Arabidopsis thaliana: one gene and its partner. The protein of the gene in region 2 interacts with the protein of the main gene of each other region in a pairwise test. Each region holds a gene or a part of one and is shown on either strand. Other genes may lie near its edges.

Region 1 (5,440 bases), 3.5 Mb from region 2:
CATAATTCTCTTTCAAAATCATAGAAACTTGTCACGTACGTAGCAAATTCATAATTCGTTGACAAAACGAAACACACACACACACTCTCTCATGATCACATTCAGAAAAAAGAATTGGTACTATATAGATCAATTTGAATTTTTTAATAATCTTAAATATCTTTCAACAAAAATAATGTTATTTACAATGCGTAATTTGAAAGAAAGAATTGGAAAACGTTATAGGGAGTTTCAGGCAATGAAACCAAATAGACAAAAAAAAAGAATCTTCAGTTACCAGTTTCCACGAGCTCGTTGCCATCATATTCATAGGTCAATCTCAGTTTGATATATGCTATCAAAGTTTAAAGGTAATATCACTGCTAGGTTTGGTCGGGAGTTTTTGACTCTGTACTCAATTATTCATCCATGCACTGATGCACATCAGTACTTGTATTATTTCTAACTTTTTTTTTTTGGGAAATTGTAATACCGTCACTAGATGAGTGATAGTTTTAAGTTATATTAAACGATCAGTTTTCGAAAATGTGAAATTACTTTCTCACAAAATTTGTTGCAAAGAAGAGCTGAAGAGGTACCGCAATCATTGGAAAGAAAAAAATGGTAAGGATAAACTGGAATATCGATTGATGAGTGATGACTATTCTTGTTTCTTGCATAAAGCGTTAACACTATTTTTCTCAAATAAAGATTCAATGAAATGTAAAATAAGAAACCATTTTTAAATAATTTTGTTCTTTTTTTTGTTTTTACATCTTTAGGCCCCAAATAACAATTTCAACAAAGAAACATTAAAAAAGAAGAAAGAAGAAACAATGAAAGCTAAGTCTCTGAAGCTAAAGACAGAGCAGCTTTCTTTTAGGAAGTAAGGCATTTTTGACAATTATTCTTATTTCATCCCAAGAATTATTCACTTTCTCTTTTCTCATAAATCTTTATTGCCCAAAGAAAACTTCATTCTTGATCATCATCATACGGACTTCTGTTGCATCTCAGCAGCACCCATATTGACAGCTTCATCAGGAATAAACTTTCCCCAGAACCAATGTGCCTTCCACACTCTGTTCATCTCTTCGATTGGCACATTCTTTGTCTCAGGCAACATCAAGTAGATGAATATTGTCATTATGACAACAAAGAAGGCGAAGAAGAAGAATAGTCCGAATTTCATGTGACAAAGCATAGTGAGGAAGAGCTGAGCCACAAGGAATGTGAAGAACATGTTGACCGAAACGTTTATGGCTTGAGCTGCTGATCGGATCTCTAGTGGAGATATCTCACTAGGAACCAACCATCCCAACGGTCCCCATGACCAGGCGAAACCCGCTACATAGATGCAGATCAGTGCCACGATTAGATTGGCATCACTTTTCCCTATGTTTCCTGTTCCAGCCACTCCAAATTTGACTCCAATCATGGCTCCAATAGCGATCTGTAATACACACCGATATTTTGAGATATTGAGTGCCAATTAAGAAACGTATAGTAGGGTTAGGGTTAGGCGTTTGTGTTACCTGAGAGACAAGCATCTGGATACCTCCTTGGAGGAACAAGATTCTTCTTCCAAACCTATCCACTGTAAAAACAGAGACGAAGGTACACAAGAGCTCGATGATACCCGTTACCATAGCTGATAGGAGGGAAGCTTTGCTACCGAACCCGAGGGTTTGGAACAAAACCGGGGCGTAGAAGGTAATGACATTGATTCCGGTAAGTTGTTGAAAGAAAGGAATGAAGCAAGTCATGATCAATTGTGGTCTGTAACGAGGAAGCATGATGTTCTTCCATGGGTGTTTCACTTGCTTGGACTCCTCACTTGCATCAATGAGATCTTGAAACTCTTCATCGACTTCATTGGTTCCTCGGATGGACTGAAGCATTTCCTTGGCCTCTTCGGTGTAGCCACGTTCGATGAGAGAGTTGGGAGTGTCGGGAAGGATCAGAGCTCCGATCATGATCATCACTGCAGGGACACAAGCTAATCCGAGAGAGATTCTCCATCCGATGTTTCCTTTCATCTGTGCGGTGAAGTAATTGATGATCGTTGCAACCACAATACCAAAGATAATCGCTACTTGAAACCCGTTGTTGAAAGCTCCTCTTAGATTCGGAGGAGCCATTTCTGATAAATAAACCGGTACAGACTGAAACACAAAACAAAACCAGTTAACTAAGCCACCAGTGTTACTTCTTCATCAAGGAAAAAGACAGTTTTTAGAGCTTACTTGATTGGCGAATCCGACTCCGAAACCAAGTAGGATACGACCAATGAGAAGCATAGCGATGTTTTGGGCAAAGCCGTTGAAAGCAGAACCGATGAAGAAGGTGAAACCACCGAGAAACATCGACCATTTCCTTCCGAAAACTCTAGTAATGGTGGAGGCAAAGAGAGAAGACACCAAAGCCGCCACATAGAGAGACGAAGTGAAGAGAGTGAGAAGCTGACTATCAAATCGACAGTACTCGTTCTCATGTGCGCTCTTCATCTTCTTGTAGACGTAAGGGAAGAACTCTTCCAAGAATGGCTCCATTGAGGTTACCCCTCCTACAAGAATATAGAAACCCTAATTAGTCACCGGAAATTCCTAGATCAGATCAAAGAAGAACAAGACTTGAAGAAAAGAAAAAAACCTGAGATCCCGAGATCGTATCCGAAGATGAGACCACCAAAAGCACCGATGAAACATGTCACAAACACTTTCGGTGTCAGTTTGTAATTGTAGTTCCGAACACCCGGCGTTTGACTGACGAACCCTCCGGCCATTTCTTTGATTTGCTAAAAAACAAATGAAAGATTTGTTGACTTCTGTCTGTTTCAGACAAACAGAGCAGATCTTTTTTCTCTCAGGTAATTAGTAGATCTGGTTCTCGAATTCAGACAGAGAAATCAAATGTAAGAAGAAGAAAAAGAAGAAGAAGAAGAAGAAGAAGACAAGATTTGATATTGAAAATGAAGAAGAGTTTAGTTGAAATTTATAGGATTCGACAAAACCTCAAAAAAAGGAGAAATTAACTGTCGGCTGACTTCTGAAGTTTAGAAGAAAAGAACAGCTGTTGTTCTGGTTCTTCCACTTGCCTATTCCTCTAGATCGTTATCTTCTTCCCTTAATCTCGTGTCTTTTTTTAGTTTTCAGACCAAATAATTATTGTCTTTTTTGCTTAAAACGTAGAAAATTAGTATTTATGACGAGGAATCATTTAATTACTCTTTGGATAGTTTACCAAATTAACCAGATTATTGGACTGAAAATTAATTAATTAATACACTAATGAGTCGCATTTTGTAAGATGATAACTCTTTACTTTGCACTAGAACTACAATTTTGACTCAATTAAAGCTATTTTTGGTTTTATCTAGTCACTTTCGACAAGTGACAGTTATTTTAATTTGATGCTGTGGTACTTAAATGAGTAAACCACCCGCAAAACTCGGTCAATGGACAGCAAAGACCGCTACTAGTTTAATTTTAGTCTTGTAGATAAGATCTTTGATCTGATATTTTAAATTAGGTGTAAAATCTGTTTTTCAATTTTCAAACTTTTAAAAGTAGTATAGTTTAGTTATTACTTTTCCGTCTTTTGACACTAAAAAAAGTGGTATGAAATCTTCAATATCTATCCAAAATTTGAGGTCATATTGATACCTTAATAACCTTTTTACCCGTGAGCCTTTTCATTCACATGCATGGATCTATAATGAATGTAATGTTTTAACATTATCCATGGAATGGGGACAAAATTTAGTTTTTGATAAAAACTAGATTTCTTGATTTTATTAAGAGAGCATATTGTACGTCAAATTGACTATAAGATAACATTTCTGTGTCAGAGGATATTTCAAACAATGATAGTAAACAGTTGGGCTATTGATTACGATGGAAAGAAAAGTTGACTCACTACTTTTCTATATGTATAATTAATTATTTCGTAAACTATACGTAGCTCCATACTTTCATTCGTAGTCTTCCGTTGCTTTCTACTCCTTTCGTTTACATTGGAAAGTCAAAACTCGCGTTACATTATTTTCATGATGTTCCCATAAGGTTTCGTCATTATAGTGTCATATCGTTATCTTAACGACGTTATTCATGTAAGGCTATATTAATAACTACGTTATGCATTGCATACAAGGATATGTTTTATTCCCTATATAAATTGGTGTGATATATTATATATATAATCTTATGTTTGCTACATACAGTAATTAATGTGATTTGAATTAGTCACATTTTTGTTAGACTCATCAGATCTTGTCTCAGCACTGCATTCTCATTAGGATCAGCAACTTGACACTGAATTAATTAACCATCTTTTATGTTTGATATATTGCAGTACTAATTAATTAGTTAGTGCTAATTGTTTACATGCCGATGGAAATTGTAATGTTAATGCAAAATTTGTATAGCTAAAAGGCCTAGCTAGAACAAAACAATTAGGTGAATGTGTTTGAATCTGAGAATCTGAGAAATGCGTTATTTTGATGTAGTGATCTTCTGTAGTTTGATTGCTCTCGTTCCCTTTTTATAAATGTGAACCTTTGTCTTGTTAATTTCATGAAATTATTCAGACGAATGAAAAAGAACAAGACAATTAGGTGTTTCGTCGATCACATGCGTAAAGCCAACTTGACTTTTAGATATTTGTTTGTTTGTATTGCAGATTTTTAAATTATACGTTCACTGAAAACAAAATTCAGAGAAAACAAAAGTAAGAATAAAATGAAACAGGACAACAAAACTCAAAACATAAAGAGGAAGAACAAATTGAAAAACACAAGACAACCAAAAACTCGTACAGTGTACCATTACCATATGTAAGGTTTTGATAATAAATTAATAATTAGAAACCTTAGCCGAAAAAATACAATTAAGAAATAATGGGCATTGGTGCTATTTTCGAGACAGCAAACTCGTTTTTTTTTTTGACGCAAATGTGTATTTAAAATGGCAACAGAAAACTCGAAATCAATTAAGCGACCGACTAATAAATGTTATCATCTCGAAAAAAAGACATGTCATCCAAGATCACGTATGGCATATACAGCCTAAAACATATGATCCGCCGCATGGTATTCGACATAATTATTCATTATAACCATCATGTGTTAGTTATATCATATTCACCGGAAACTATATGCAATCGGTTGCTCTATGCTTTGCCACTAACTAGACCCAACTCAAAACATAATTTACCATATCTATATAAACCTGGATAATGTACTCACCATAATAGATCAAATTCTTACCAATATTTATCGGAGAATAGTTAAAAACACCGCTTTCTGATCATTTTTCGATGACAAAAAGTTGTCAAACATCTTTAGTTGGAGACTTCCAACCTGGTATAGTGGTTTAGATAGCGTGTGACCTTCCGAAGTTTCTCCTAACCAGTCACATCTCGATATCGCAAATAATTTGCCTCTAAAATTTGTAATCTTTAG
Region 2 (5,164 bases):
AATGTATACGTAAATAGTATATTCACAAAATAGAATAGTATCTCTCAAAAATCTTCCAAAATCAAAATCGATTTATTGGCTATTTCCCTTTAGAATTTCCAACATCGTAAACCCTTTATCGCTTCTAGATCTAAGAAATCCATAACATGATCGTCAATTTGTTGTTCATAATTCTCAATTTTATTTTCCATGGATTTACAAATTAAAATTCTCATATGAACTTTGATGGGAAAGTGAAGATTAATTTGACATAATTGGCGAAAGGATTTCACCGGATTTTTCTAGTATTCTCTGGCTGACGAAGAATAAATATAGTCAGAGTATTATTGCGCTAATGGTGTTGTTATAAAATAGAGTAAATCAGATTTGAGTGATCCTATCGACATTTAAGATTGATCCATATATAATTTTGACTTTTGTTTAGTTGATGGTGATGTATGTAAAGATTCGTAAGAAAAGGGCGAGATAGATGAAAGGAGCACACTTCATAAAAGAGAAGAAGATTTATTCACAAGGATGTCTTTTGAAGAAGAAAGAAGAAGGAGAGCGAGATGTACAAACACAGTAAGAAAAGGGAGAGAGAGATGAAAGGAGCACACTTCATAAAAGAGAAGAAGATTTATTCAATAGGATGTCTTTTGAAAAAGAAAGAAGAAGGAGAGCGTGATGTACAAACACATGATAGTATTGTCAATATTATATATATTATACATAATATTTTTTTCTATTGTTTGAAGTGTTAGTTTACCAATTAAAGTATTTTTGTTGGTTATATTTGCCAATTCCCCAAGTATTTATACCATTTTCGAAGTTTCGACATAAGTTAAAAAGGATATAAGAACCGGAAAAATAACGAAAATCTACAGAAAGAACAGACAATGACAAAACAACAAAGGAGGAAAACATATGTATAGAGCGAAAACAAAAGAAGAAACACCGATTCCAAAATGCCAAACTCGGAAATTTGCGTGATTTCCTCCACAACTCCAAGAAGCTGGAGTCTCATCCTAAGTTGTATACCTAATTTGTTTACAGAAGTTATCTATGGTGCTAAAAAAAATGGTTTTAACACTTGAAAAAAAAGCTTTTACTAAAGTTATATATATATGGTTTAGTGGTTTTCTTTAGTGTATGAGTCGATATGAGAGGACAGTAAAAGATAAATCATTTTTTATATAAAAAAGCTGTTGAATATTATTTGTTATTTGTGATAAACAATTTGAATAGTAAAACATGTTACATAATTTCTTTAGCTAGTGCTTATAGAAAATTGATTTTAAAACAAAATAAAGATAAAAGTTAGTTTCTATTCAAAAAATTGAAAATGATTGCCACATCATTTAAAACTAAAAGTTAAAAATTAAAGGTAAAATTGGTTTTTTTTTTTTGAAATCGCTTTAATTGTAAGGGTAAAAGTGGATATTTGTTTTTACTGAAATCATGAGTATGAAAATAACAGCAATTTTTTTTGGATAATAAACGCACATTTTAATTATTATGTGTATTTTTTCCAACCAAAAATAATTGAGTATTCAACGTCTAGATAAAAAAGAGACTGAGATTTTTTTCGACTTTTTCTCCAAAAAAAACGAAGTTCCAAAAATAATGATGAAATTAGTAGTGGTAAATGGTCAATTTAAATCCGTTGCTACAAATCAAAATTTAAATCTGTAAATTAACTAAATCTATTAAATTATTAATGAAAACCAATGTAAAAAGAATCTCAACTTCTCAAGCATACTTTGTTTCAAATATTCTACTATTCAAAATACTCCCTTAAATCATAACCTGAAACTCACATAAGCTGATCCAAAATTGAATTTCATTCCACAATTTTTCTCTTAAACTTCATATAAACATGTCAGCATGTTACACGGCCTTTTTTGTCTGCTTCATATATCTCTCAAGTGTGTGTACTACACAATAACATTTCCTGAAAATCTAACTTTCACCCACTCACCATCTTTTCTTCTCTCTTTCCCCATCAAAAAAAACAAAAACAAAACACAACTCTGTTTCTCTCATCTTAAAATTCATGTAAAAAAAATCTACAAATCAAAGAGAGAAACAGAGTAAAGAGAAAGAGAAGAAGATGGCGCGGAAATACTTTCAGAGAGAAGTTTTGCCGGTAACGGCTTTGGTAATAATGGAATGTGCAAACGTTGGTTTAAACACTCTGTTTAAAGCAGCAACTTTGAAAGGCATGAGCTTTCATGTCTTCATCGTTTACTCTTATGGTCTCGCTGCTCTGCTTCTTCTTCCTTCTCTGTTTTGCTCTTTCAGGTCTCTCTCTCTTCTTGATTCGATCTCGATACTAAATTTTTCATCTAATCTTGAAAATTGGCTAATCGGTTCTTGTTTAATTTCACAGATCAAGAACTCTTCCACCGATGAATTTCTCTATTCTCTACAAAATCGTGCTCTTAGGGATTATTGGGTAAAAGTCTCATCTCTTGAAATTTTCTACCAAATAAAAAATTCTCAGTTCTTGAAATTTTTCTTTAATTTCAAGCAATACCTGAGTGTTGCTGAAATAGGTTAATTTGATCTTTAATTACCTGATTAGATCAAATTTTTTGCATGAGTGTTACTGAAATTCTCAGTTTTTGTTTACCAAAATTTAGAGAATAAAAAGTATAGAAAGAGACATTTGGCTTAAAGTTGGTTCCAAAAGCTGCAACTTTACTGCAAAAATCTAAAAACATTATTATTATTATAAACAAAAATAAATTCAATTTTTGGGGGTTTATTTATATGATTTAATCTTAGTAAAAAAATGGAATATATTATTTGGTTTTGGTTATAAAATTTTTGATTAATAAAAGTGTGTGTTGACAATGTATATAGATGCTGTTCATGATTTATTCTTAGTAAAAAGTGGAATATATTATTTTGTTTTGGTTATAATTATTTGATTAATAAAAATGTGTGTTGATAATGTATATAGATGCTGTTCAAACATAATGGGATACACAGGGATAAATTATAGTTCTCCAACACTTGCTTCTGCAATCAGCAACCTCACTCCTGCTTTCACCTTCTTGCTTGCAGTCGTTTTCAGGTTTGACAACAACATTTCTATATCCTATTTGACATATTCCTTTTACATTATCAATTTACAAAATTACCCTCCGTCCATTAACTGTATATGGGCCTTATTGTTTAGCCCATGAGGTTATGATTTGAAAACGTTTGGTGTAATGTTGTAGGATGGAGAGTGTGTCTTTTAAGAGAACAAGTAGTGTGGCTAAAATGTTAGGAACCGTTGTTTCTATTGGAGGTGCATTTATAGTGACTCTTTATAATGGTCCTGTTGTGATTGCTAAATCGCCACCGTCTGTTTCTTTGCGATCGCAATCGACTAACCCTAATTGGATACTTGGTGCGGGTTTCCTTGCGGTCGAGTATTTCTGTGTTCCATTGTGGTACATTGTTCAGGTCTGAACTCTATATGCATATATAACATATATGTCACTATGTGAGTTTTTTGGTTTTCTGATAGAATCATATGTTCTCAATATTTTTTGTAGACTCAAATCATGAGAGAGTATCCGGCCGAGTTTACCGTTGTTTGCTTTTATAGCATAGGCGTTAGCTTTTGGACCGCGCTAGTCACATTGTTCACTGAAGGGAATGACTTGGGTGCATGGAAGATAAAACCGAATATAGCTTTAGTGTCGATCGTTTGCTCGGTGAGAATATAATTACACTCATGTGTTTTTCCCTAGAGATTATGAGTGTGATTAGTTTTTTGACAAGCAAAATGGTTTTATTTTGGTTGATTCTATTTCTATGTTTAGGGATTGTTTGGATCTTGCATAAACAATACTATCCACACGTGGGCATTGCGGATCAAGGGGCCTTTATTTGTTGCAATGTTCAAGCCATTGTCTATTGCAATTGCTGTTGCAATGGGAGTTATCTTCCTGCGAGATTCTCTCTACATCGGCAGGTACAAAAACAACTCACACTTTTATTTAAATAGTAACGGGTGAGTCCAAGATTAGTTTGGGACTTGCGGTTATGTTAGAACCATACCTCAAAAAACTGTGGAAAATATTAACTAGTCATTCTCTAATTCTCAGCTCACTTTAACTCTTTTGGTTTCCTTTCTTTGCTTGAATGATGATCCCAGCTTGATCGGGGCAACGGTAATAACAATCGGGTTTTACACGGTAATGTGGGGAAAAGCCAAGGAAGTGGCCTTGGTCGAAGATGATAACAAGGCTAACCACGAGGAGGCCAATGAAGCTGACCTTGATTCTCCATCGGGTTCACAGAAGGCTCCTCTCTTGGAAAGTTACAAGAACGATGAACATGTATGAGTATCATCAACTAGTGAAGATCACGCTATATATATATGTGTGAAAAAATTCATATGTGAATTGTCTTTGTAATTTATTTGATGAGACAAATGTGATCTTTAATTTTAGGATCCAAGTGTTTTCTAATCACAATCTAACAAGTCCTTTTTATATCCTTTTTTTCTTAGTCTTTCACATGATTTACACTAGAATGATTCCAATATCCTTAAGAATAAGACTAATTCTTCACTTAAGATTTAAGAACATCTTTTAGTGATAACTGATAACTACAGGTTTTGGCGACCAATTTTCATTTGTTTTATAGTCCTTGATAGTGGTGACGATATGTCCTGGATTTAAGACTTACTATGAACTGGAAAATTAATTGCTCATCAAGAAAAGATATTTAACCTAAAAATCTCAAAAATTATCCTAAAAATCTTTGTCCTCATAACTATAATTAAGTTACTAATTAACTAATGGTTAGACATTTTTTTTTTTTAACTATATAGTAATAGTGTAATAATAATTGTTGAAAGTGGTTTTTACTTTTACTGCGGTGGGATGCAAAAGTAAGTTGAAGTTGAGATTCTAAAGCTCCTAAATTGGTCAAACCGTCAAACCAGAGTTTCAGATTCAGACAATCAAAAACAAAACAAAAAAAATGGCTGGGAGATTCTGTCAAAGAGACGGCGGGATCATGACGGCAATGGTGGCGGTGGAGATTCTGACAGAGTGTAGCCAAAGTAGTTGGAACAATAGTTTGCATTGTGGGTGCACTTGTGGCAACTCTATACCATGGCCCCATCGTCTTCGCCGCATCTAAGCCGTCCTTTTATCTCCTTCAGCGTCTTTCGGCA

The links.
Region 1: the proteins of UMAMIT41 (region 2) and STP4 interact in a protein complementation assay, tested with the Arabidopsis thaliana proteins (one large-scale study listed by BioGRID).

What each region holds. Positions count from the first base shown.
Region 1 is NC_003074.8:6,932,372-6,937,811, reverse strand, and holds STP4 (sugar transporter 4), read right to left. Parts: upstream 3,245-5,440; 5' UTR 2,765-3,244; coding exon 2,632-2,764; intron 2,546-2,631; coding exon 2,226-2,545; intron 2,145-2,225; coding exon 1,515-2,144; intron 1,433-1,514; coding exon 971-1,432; 3' UTR 615-970; downstream 1-614. UniProt on the Arabidopsis thaliana protein: Mediates an active uptake of hexoses, probably by sugar/hydrogen symport. Can transport glucose, methylglucose, galactose, xylose and mannose, but not fructose.
Region 2 is NC_003074.8:10,440,892-10,446,055, forward strand, and holds UMAMIT41 (nodulin MtN21 /EamA-like transporter family protein), read left to right. Parts: upstream 1-1,716; 5' UTR 1,717-2,092; coding exon 2,093-2,283; intron 2,284-2,371; coding exon 2,372-2,437; intron 2,438-2,947; coding exon 2,948-3,061; intron 3,062-3,209; coding exon 3,210-3,438; intron 3,439-3,530; coding exon 3,531-3,692; intron 3,693-3,800; coding exon 3,801-3,952; intron 3,953-4,135; coding exon 4,136-4,325; 3' UTR 4,326-4,540; downstream 4,541-5,164. Other genes in the region: UMAMIT43-psi (Nodulin MtN21 /EamA-like transporter family protein), read left to right, coding at 5,103-5,164.